2 linked regions of the Daphnia pulex genome follow. The protein of the gene in region 1 binds, or shares a complex with, the protein of each later gene. Links are inferred from orthologs where the notes say so. Each region holds a gene or a part of one and is shown on either strand. Other genes may lie near its edges.

Evidence for each region.
Region 2: the proteins of dihydrolipoyl dehydrogenase, mitochondrial-like (region 1) and lipoamide acyltransferase component of branched-chain alpha-keto acid dehydrogenase complex, mitochondrial-like are in contact, whole or in part, in a crystal structure (PDB 3RNM), measured with the Homo sapiens proteins. The link is inferred for Daphnia pulex from reciprocal best matches to the Homo sapiens genes DLD and DBT. Residues at the interface, in NP_000099.2 of Homo sapiens: Ser446, Thr447, Asp448, Arg449, Glu472, Tyr473, Gly474, Ser476, Glu478, Asp479, Arg482; in NP_001909.4 of Homo sapiens: Thr174, Pro175, Ala176, Lys196, Arg199, Leu201, Lys202, Glu203, Leu206.

What each region holds. Positions count from the first base shown.
Region 1 is NC_060019.1:6,199,879-6,204,691, reverse strand, and holds dihydrolipoyl dehydrogenase, mitochondrial-like, read right to left. Parts: upstream 3,276-4,813; 5' UTR 3,171-3,275; coding exon 3,129-3,170; intron 2,938-3,128; coding exon 2,667-2,937; intron 2,608-2,666; coding exon 2,432-2,607; intron 2,368-2,431; coding exon 2,197-2,367; intron 2,109-2,196; coding exon 1,887-2,108; intron 1,817-1,886; coding exon 1,680-1,816; intron 1,608-1,679; coding exon 1,418-1,607; intron 1,363-1,417; coding exon 1,225-1,362; intron 1,157-1,224; coding exon 1,067-1,156; intron 999-1,066; coding exon 930-998; 3' UTR 801-929; downstream 1-800. Other genes in the region: tRNA-dihydrouridine(20a/20b) synthase [NAD(P)+]-like, read left to right, coding at 1-113, 180-388, 452-487, 565-782; dnaJ protein homolog 1-like, read left to right, coding at 3,829-4,053, 4,120-4,498, 4,561-4,813. UniProt on the Homo sapiens protein: Lipoamide dehydrogenase is a component of the glycine cleavage system as well as an E3 component of three alpha-ketoacid dehydrogenase complexes (pyruvate-, alpha-ketoglutarate-, and branched-chain amino acid-dehydrogenase complex).
Region 2 is NC_060026.1:4,119,504-4,124,424, forward strand, and holds lipoamide acyltransferase component of branched-chain alpha-keto acid dehydrogenase complex, mitochondrial-like, read right to left. Parts: upstream 3,186-4,921; 5' UTR 3,106-3,185; coding exon 3,046-3,105; intron 2,970-3,045; coding exon 2,782-2,969; intron 2,717-2,781; coding exon 2,532-2,716; intron 2,470-2,531; coding exon 2,330-2,469; intron 2,266-2,329; coding exon 1,984-2,265; intron 1,918-1,983; coding exon 1,709-1,917; intron 1,640-1,708; coding exon 1,447-1,639; intron 1,365-1,446; coding exon 1,293-1,364; intron 1,230-1,292; coding exon 1,062-1,229; 3' UTR 818-1,061; downstream 1-817. Other genes in the region: pumilio homolog 3-like, read right to left, coding at 3,343-4,167, 4,239-4,420, 4,487-4,697, 4,767-4,921. UniProt on the Homo sapiens protein: The branched-chain alpha-keto dehydrogenase complex catalyzes the overall conversion of alpha-keto acids to acyl-CoA and CO(2).

The DNA.
Region 1 (4,813 bases):
TGTTTGATAAACAAACCGGAACTACTTCGTGATGTGGTGCTGCAGACAAGAAATAGGATTCCTTCAAATGATTTTACAGTTTCTATAAAAATTCGAATTCATCCTGAAATAAGGTACAACATTTCAGAAAAGTTCACTTCAGATTGTGAATATGAACTTTTTTTAAAAATATTATCTAGAAAAACAGTGGAGTTGTGTCAACAAGTGGAGGCAGCAGGTCTATCCTTTCTAACAGTTCATGGTAGAACCAAAGATCAGAGATCTGATCCAGTTAATTTAGAGGGTGTAAAATTGATCAAAGAAAGTGTTAGGGTCCCAGTGATAGCTAATGGAGATATTTGTAGCCTTCAAGATGCTGAGCACGTTCAACAAATAACTAACGTCAACGGTAAACTGTCGATATGATTACGGACAGTCTGGAACTGCCATTACCCTTCTTTTAAATATCTAGGAGTCATGTCAGCTAGAGGAATCTTAGAAAATCCAGGTAATTGAAACATCTTATTCTCCATGTTTCTTATAGCATTTGATTTAATATTTTGGCTTTTGCTACTGTTTGTTTAGCAATGTTTGCTGGATTCTCCGAAACTCCCATCGAGTGCATCAAAGACTGGATGAAGCTTTCTTTAGAAACTGGTATCTCCTTCACTCACTTTCATCATCATCTCATCTACATGTGCGAGAAAAATATGTCACGAGTCGACAGGAGATATTTTAATGCGCTGTCCAGTACCACTGCCGTGATCGACTATATGGAAAATTACTTGTCTTTATGTGAATAAAGAATGATTTCGGTTGAATTTTATGTTAGGCGTTTATATTTAAGCTTGTTTCTTTTTTTACACACATACAACCTCATACAAGGACTGCAGTTAAAGAATGGGGGAATCCATAGAATTATCTATATTATAATCTAAGCTTGCTAACGCTTATGAGAAATTGATGGCTTTGCCGGAGAAAGCTGCGAGACTGGCTTCCCTCAGTGCTTCCGAGCAGGTCTGTAAATGAGAAAAACGAAGTTAGACGAAAATATTTTCTTGGACAATAATTCAAATTATTAGTATACCGGATGGGCGTGGCAAACGCGGGCAATGTCTTCGCAGGAAGCACCATATTCCATGGCTAATGCGGCTTCGTTGATCATTTCGCCGGCACCCTGAATAATATCATCAAATGTAATTTATTACAATTTAAATGACATGGTAGAAACAAAAGATAACGTACGGGTCCAATTATGTGAGCTCCAAGAAGGCGATCAGTAGTCTTGTCTCCTAAGATTTTAACCATACCATCGGTATCATCGTTTGTCTTGGCGCGGCTGTTGGCGGCGAAGGGGAATTTACCAATTTTGTATTCAACTCCCTAAATTCAATAAAGCATGATAAGTTAAAAAAGGGTATAAATATTAGGAAATTACCATTGATTTCAAGTCCTCTTCGGATTTTCCAACCCAAGCAACTTCAGGGTGTGTGTAAATGACGGAAGGTACGCAGTTGTAGTCGATGTGAACGGATCCTCCTGCAATTCCTTCGACACAGATAATGCCTTCATCTTCAGCTTTGTGGGCCAGCATGGGGCCGAGAATGCAATCACCAATGGCGTAGATGCTACCGAGTTTAACACATTTCATGTAGTACAGAACACACTATACCGAGACGTTTAAGTAAGGTGATACTCACTTGGGGACAACGGACTGGAAACGTGAATTGACCGGAATTCTTCCTCTCTGGTCGAGTTCGATGGACATTTCTTCAAGACCTAAACTCTTCGTGAAGGGACGGCGACCAACACAAACCAGTAGAACGTCGCAATCCATCTGAATTATCAGGCATATGATAAAATTAGAACGGTATGTCCATGGATAGGGGAGAGGTGTTGTTTAGTACCTCTTCTTTCTTGGCAGATTTGACATTTTCGACGTTCACAATGATTTTTCCGCCGGATTTTTGTGCTCCCAACACTTTGGTTCCCAATTTAAATTGCATGTGTTGTTTGGTGAGGATTCTTTGGAACGATTTTGCCATTTCTTGATCAATACCCAAACCACCGATTTGATTCATAAATTCAACAGCCGTCACCTTGGCTCCAAGTCGAGACCACACTGATCCCTATAATTATTTAATTAATTAAGAATTTTTTTTTTTTTTAAATATTATTTTTTTAAAGCTTTTTTATGTCAAATAAAGTAAATGTTACCAATTCCAAACCAATGACTCCTGCTCCGATGACAATCATTTTCTCTGGAACGGTTTTTAAACAAAGTGCGCCAGTAGACGAGACAATTTGTTCTTCATCGATATCGATTCCGGGGAATGGTGTCACTTCTGATCCCGTTGCGATCAAAATATTCTTGGTTCGGACGATTTCCTACCGAGATGAAAACAAAATAGAATTTTCCATGAAATACACAGTTAATATTATTAATTAATACCTGGGTTCCATCTTCTTTAAGAGCAGTAACTTCATTCGCACCAGTAATTTTACCATGTCCTCTGATGTGTGTCACTTTGTTGCTCTTGAATAAATGAGCAATTCCTCCAGTTAAAGATTTCACAGCTGTTTCTTTTGCTTTCATCATTTGAGGAAGGTTCAATGAAAGGCCAGTAACTAGAGAAAAGTATTGATTTAATTCAGTTCACATTATAAATCTTAAAATAATTAATCACCATCAATTCCTCTATTTTTGAATTCACTTTGGGCCATGTGATAGTAGTGAGAATTATTCAATAGTGCTTTGGAAGGAATGCAGCCAACATTAAGGCAAGTGCCTCCAAGGGTTGCATTTTTCTCTACACAGACTGTTTTCATTCCCAGCTGGGCAGCCTTGATAGCTGCCACATAACCACCAGGGCCCGAGCCAATGACCACCAGATCAGCTTCAGTACTGTCAGAGTACCATCTGCAGTTAGCTAATTGGTTCCTGACAGCTGCAGTGACCTGTAACCAAGAAAAGATATTACATAATAAGTTTATTCTTTTTAATAGCTACACCAGATTAAAGAAAAAAGAAGGCTCAACATGTCTTGGTCCCCAATAAACAGTTAAAATACGTTGAATCGCATTAGTACGGTGACGAAATACTTTTTAAATTTTTATAATAGATAATTTTTTGAATGCAATGGAAATACCTTAAGATTTTGAGGCAATTTACTCAAAATATTAACTTGCATTTTTATTTTAGTTCTTCACGATTTCACGAGCTTTTTCCCAGCGGTCAGAAGTTGTTCAGCTGTTCAGCGACACTATCACCATCTGTACTAGAAAGGGTGAACTATGTTAAAACTTACAAATTGTTTTTCTTTCCACCAGGAGATGGAAACGTGTTTTCCAGACTATTTGAGAACGTTCTCGATTCATAACAAACGGATACATACACTCGCTGGGGCTCATTTTCTCGCTATTTGAAGCTGTGACTTGTACGAGTCGATTAAGTCGAGAAATCTACTCTTGCGAACAACTAGTGTTCCAATAAAACAAACGTTTTATCATTTAAGTGTTTCGAGTCCAAGCTCTACTATTCTGTAATACAGAAAGGTAATAATCAAACGTTTTAACTAGTACGTATTGGTGGTGGGTTAAATTGTGTCACAGTCCAAACTTAGAAGTCGACGTCATCGACGACCCTGAATCGTTGACCTTCTTTGGGCATCACGCATCACACCGTTTTGTTACTCTCCCTCTTTTCCTTAAGAATTTCCTACTTAGATTATTTTAAACATATTGAGTTTTTTAAAATTCAGTTATCCCCAAGCAAAATCCAATTACCCTCCATTAATCAAGTTCTCTTTTGTTTAGTTTTCACTTTCCAATACATTCTAGGCTTCCTTCATGAAAATGGGAAAAGATTATTACAAAATTCTTGGAATATCAAAATCAGCTACTGATGATGAAATCAAGAAGGCATACCGTAAACTGGCATTGAAATACCACCCTGATAAAAATAAAGCACCAGGTGCAGAAGACAAATTTAAGGAGGTAGCAGAAGCATATGAAGTTTTAAGTGACAAAAAGAAGAGAGATGTCTTTGATCAGTATGGAGAAGAAGGATTAAAGGTAAGAAAATGAACTATTCTCCTATTAAATGACTTAAGTTTTTACATCATATTTGTACTTAAAAAGGGTGGATTGGGAAGTGGTGGTGGCGGCGGAGGAGGAGGCGGCGGCGGTCCGGGTGCCAGCTTTTCCTACGCCTATCATGGTGATCCAAGGGCCACGTTTGCTCAATTTTTCGGTTCATCCAACCCTTTTGAATCCTTCTTCACAATGGGTGGAATGGGTCAACAGCAGCAAGGTGGAAACAGAGGATTCTTTCCAGAAGGTGGTGAAGACATGGACGTGGATGACCCTTTTATCAACTTGGGATTTGGAGGAAGAAATCCCGGGGGAGCTTTCCGATCTCAGAGTTTCAACATGCACGGGCCAGGAATGGGAAAAGAGAAAGTACAAGATCCGCCCATTGAATACGACCTTAACGTCACATTAGAAGAAGTTCTTAAAGGTAAATTTATTTTGTAATACTCAGTTCTTGGATTTGTGATTTACTTTGCTGGCTATTTTTAGGATGTACCAAAAAGATGAAAATCTCCCGCAAAGTTTACCAGGCAGATGGCACGTCTAAAAAAGAAGACAAAGTATTAACCATAAACGTCAAGCCAGGCTGGAAAGCAGGAACAAAAATCACGTTCCAGCGAGAAGGGGACCAGACGCCCAACAAGATACCCGCAGATATTGTTTTCATCATACGAGACAAACCTCACGGGCTGTTGAAGAGGGATGGCTGCGATCTGCGCTACACTTCCAAAGTTTCCCTTAG
Region 2 (4,921 bases), on another chromosome or scaffold:
TCTTTCCTTTCCAGTGTAAATTTAAATTTCACAATTTTGGGTTTTTGTAAGGCCCTCAACGGTCCGGTGCAACCGTTCGGTTGCCGGGACCGGTCACCCCCTGAAAAAATCCTAAAAATTTCGGACCGGGCCACAGCAACGCTATTTGACATCAGATCTTCTAAAAAAGATGAAAACATGTTTAGAGAAAAGGCTAAAAAACATTTCCCAGCCCGCCTAGACCTGATTTCGTTTATTTGGCGGGGTTGTGGCTTCATTCGATGTAATCCATTATCCCGCTAGGGGGCTCGTTGGCTTAGACGGTTATTGTGTAGTTACTGTTTTTTGTGTTTGGTTAGGTTATTTAACGATTTTAGGGAGTATTTGAATATTTCATTCGGATTGAGAAAGTCATTACAAATGTTTCTGTTTTGCGCACAACAAGCTTCTCTATTTGCTCAATTTTAAACCGACGCAACCGCGCACACCGAACCGAATCGTAAGTAATTGGGTGATTTACTATTTCTGAGGGAAATTCCCAAAACATTACGAAAACTTACGAACAGGTAATTCATGACAGATGACAGATACGTTGGTTTTCTTAACCTAGCGGGCAGACAAGTGGGCCACTGACCAAGTCCGTCTCCACTATCTCCTGTTAAAGTTGCATCACATAAAGTAAATAATATTAAAAATTAAACATGGCATTACTAGTACAAGAAAATGTTGTTCACACTGGATAAATAGTACATAAAACTACAAATTCACAAACACAGTCATATTGTTTGTTTAATTTAAAATATTAAACTTAAGTAAAAGAAAAACATTTAAAAGAAAATTTCACGTGTAGGACTAATCTGTTATCTTAGTGAAATAACAGATAGGCAGTATATTATATCAAGTTTCTTTTTTTTTCATACACTGATGATCATACTGACCATATGACTGAGTCCCATGCTGTTGAGATTTCACTTCGCGACCATTATACACTAATATAGATCCTCTTTTATTAAATTTAGAAACGTACCCTTCCGCCAGGAGGACACGGATTGTAGAGTACTTCATTATTAGTATTTGAATATTCATTTCAAGTCTAAGATCATAATGCTGGGATTTTCTAGATAAGCCTTCCACAAATTGGAAAATCGCGCCATTGAGGCGCCATCAATCACTCGATGGTCAGCAGACCAACTAACTTGCATGATGGATGCTCTCACCACCTCACCTTTGTTGTTGAAACGAGGAAGTACCTAAACAATTCAATACTACTGAATCATCTGAATAATTAAAGGTTGCCGAAATTTAAAAACTACCTGGACACGTCCTATTGCTCCAATAGCAACCTCCGGCGGCATAATGACGGGTTTGGCATAAGTTCCTCCTATCTGAAATTAAAAGGGAAAACGTTTTAAACGAGGAATTTATAAAAAGTAATCAATAAAATATATTAAGAGATTTATATCCAACCGATCCAATGTTGGATAAGGTGAAAGTTCCACCGGTTAAATCTGCAGTGCCCAAAACTCCTTTATTGCCTAGCTCCTGCAGCCTGGCTAGTTCGATAGCAACATCCATCACAGACAATGATTGGACATTTTTTACATTCGGCACAATTAAACCGAGACTCGTATCCATGGCAAATCCAATATTATGAGAGGCTCTAAATAAAAGAAGTTCAATAATTATTTACGTGAGAAAGAAACTTTTTTTTTTTTTTTTGGTTACATACTTGTAAGTAATATTTTCGCAAGCTTCGTCAACCGAAGCATTAAGAACTGGGAACTGTTGCAGAGCCATGGATGCAGCTTTAATGAAGAATGGCATGAAAGACAACTTAATGCCTCGCTCTTTAACCATTGGATTCTCTTTCAGAGAATGTCTCAGCGTAGCCATTGATGTCATGTCAATTTCATCACAATAACCAAAATGAGGAATTCGCTTTAAAAAATAAATATCTTGAAAATTATGAACCGAAAATATGAACGTGAAATCTCTTGATCATACCAGTGCATTAGTCATGGACTTTGCCATAGCCTTCTTAAATCCTTTAATCGACTCAGTGCGGTCCACTCCAACCGGACAGGCTGGTCTCACTTGCTGTGGGCTTTTTGTTGAAGGCGACGGCTGTTGGGAGGTAGCTGCAACAGGTTTAGGTTGTTCCTGGGGCGCCTGTTGTTTAGCTTTCGGGGCGCTCTTAGAGCTACGAAGAGTTTCAATGTGCCGAAGCATATCTTCCTTCAAGATACGTCCGTCTCTCCCACTTCCTTGTACATCTCGTAGATTTATCTATAATATTAAAACCAAGTTTTACTGACAGAATTTCTATTAAAGTTCAGTCGCTAAAACATACCTTATGATCACTGGCCATTTTTCTAACAGATGGTGTTGTCAATACCTTTTCTGCTGGAAGTTCTAGAGTATCCAAACTCTCGTCTTCTCTTTCACCGAGGGGTATGGCATCTTTTTCTTGCAACTCTTCAACAGGCTCTTCTAAAAAAAAAAACTATAAGCAACACAAAATCAAGTGAAACAAGAATCACTGTTTTTTGTACCTGTGACTGAACCACTGACTTCTATATCTACCAATGGTGTACCCACTTTGGCCATATCGTCTGTAGCATAATGCAACTTGCTAATGATTCCATCATAGCGACTGGTAATGGTAACTGATGCTTTGTCACTCTGAACTTCACAGATGGGGTCAAACTGAGCCACTTTATCACCTTCCTTGACATACCTTTAGAATTGATTTCAATCTCATATAAATACAGTGAACAATAAATGTTAAACAAAGACTATTACCATTCTTTAACCGTAACTTCCGTGATTCCCTCTCCAATATCTGAAAGTTTGAAGGGTACTTTCTCTCCATAAAAAGGTTTCGAAGAATGAAAAAATCTAGTAGTTATTGGATGAAATTGTTCGACGTGACCGCAGGGTCCGAAACGAGAAATAAGCAATGGAACGGCATTGTATTGCAATCGTGATTTCTAGGTGTTATTTAAAACGGGATAAATTTTTAAATTATTCTATCGAATCTAGTTGACAAATTAAAAATCTAATTACCAGGTAGAACAACTTATGTTGTCGAAAACTACAAACAATTCGTCGTGAAGCAGAAGCCATGTTTACTCGCAGAGGAAAAATTCTACACTTATCACGTCCGACGGAGAGAAGATGGCGCTGAGCACACACTTATATTTATTGAAATTATTTATAAAATAATAATTTAAAATAAATAAATTTGCAAATATGGCAACACAAAATTCTTATTTGTTTTAAATTAAAAAAAAAATACAAAATGTTCCAGAAATTATTTTTTATTCCAATGATTTTTTTTCGATTACAGTTCAACAGTGAAGTCTAGATTGGTTCCAACTTCGCCAATTTGGAATCAAGGATGTCAGAGCCTTTGTTGGTTTGTTTTTGTAGAAATTTCCTCAAATTTTTAAGTTTTTCTAAAACTGCTTGTATGACACTGTCAATTTCGGTTTCAACCATTCCAACGAGCAAGAAAGAACCGCGATTGCAGCTTAGCCAACCTTTAATCTCATCAGAGTCTACTTCATCGATGATTGCCTGGCTAAAATAGGGAGGTTGCGTTCGTAGCTTGTCAAACTGAATTAGCTTTTTAACCGTCATATGAACAGCCGACTGTTCAACCCAATATTGAACTTTTTCGCCACTAGAGCTAAACGCGTTTCTCAGATCTTGGTCGAGTGGGTTACCAATAACTGAAGCCACTGCTTTAAAAGCAGCTTGCAATTCTTCCCCGACGCAAAATTTGAGAATGGAGCCAAGAACAAGACAGTTTTTGCTATCTTTCAACCACATTTCAGGTTCGTGTGAGACAGCTTCCAACCAGGAAGGGGAGGCATACTGGAGAAGTTCCTTGTGACGAGTTTCCATATCTTTCTTGCTGTTGGGATTACCGTCTCCTTGCTTCAATATGTCAATAATCTGTGGATGGGTGAACTTGGGATCGCGGCCAGCAAGCAAGTACATGACAACCTTTCGGCCGTGCTCGTGAACAGCAATCTCTCTCCAGTTGGTAGCAATTTCTGTGACAATAGCTTTGGCAACGAGTTTGGTGTCATCCACGGAATCGAAAAGCGCCATCAGCACCATGTGGCCGTGCTCCTCTAAGCAGATCTTGGTTACGTGACCTTTGAAACTTTTGATGATATCCTATATAATTTTCAATAGACAGGCGGGTGAGATATAATTTCGAACACAAAATAAATAAAATTTAAATTTACCTTTCGATCTTTTTGGGTACCATACCAGAGGCACGTCATTCCAACTCGAGCTCCATCGCGAGTGTGCAAAACTTGAACGACTGCCTGACGAAGACTTTGGATCATTTCAGAGCGTTCATTCTCTTTGCAGTGAGTAAGGTACTCATTAGTCAAACGATGCAATAAACTGTGATTGAAGACACCTTTTCCAATTAAAAAATCGATTAGACGGTTGAATACAATCGAATATTGGTATCAAATCAACAAACCTTTGGCAATGATTGGTTCGATGGCCTGGTTCATATGCTTTAGGAATACTTCTCTCTTCTCGGGATGTTTAGCCAGAGCGGCACTCAACGTAGTAATGGACTCATCTTTAAAAAGTTTAAATTCAGGTCCATAAAATTCCTGGCTCAGCAGAGCGCGTTGACTTGCGTTAGCCCAATCGTTGTATGCCGTTTCAACCACTTTGGAGGCGAACTGATAAATAATAAAGAATTAATTAGCCAAATATTGAAATAAAGAAGATGGTGTTAAATAGATGCATACCTTGTGTTTCATAAGAAAAACAACTTTTCCGCTTAACGCAGTGATGACATAATTTCGCTGTTCCTTGTTACCATGGCGGAGAACTTTCATCAAGTAGAAATGTGCGTACTGTGATTTAGCCAAATTAACAGTATGGCTTTTAAGTTCATTGAATA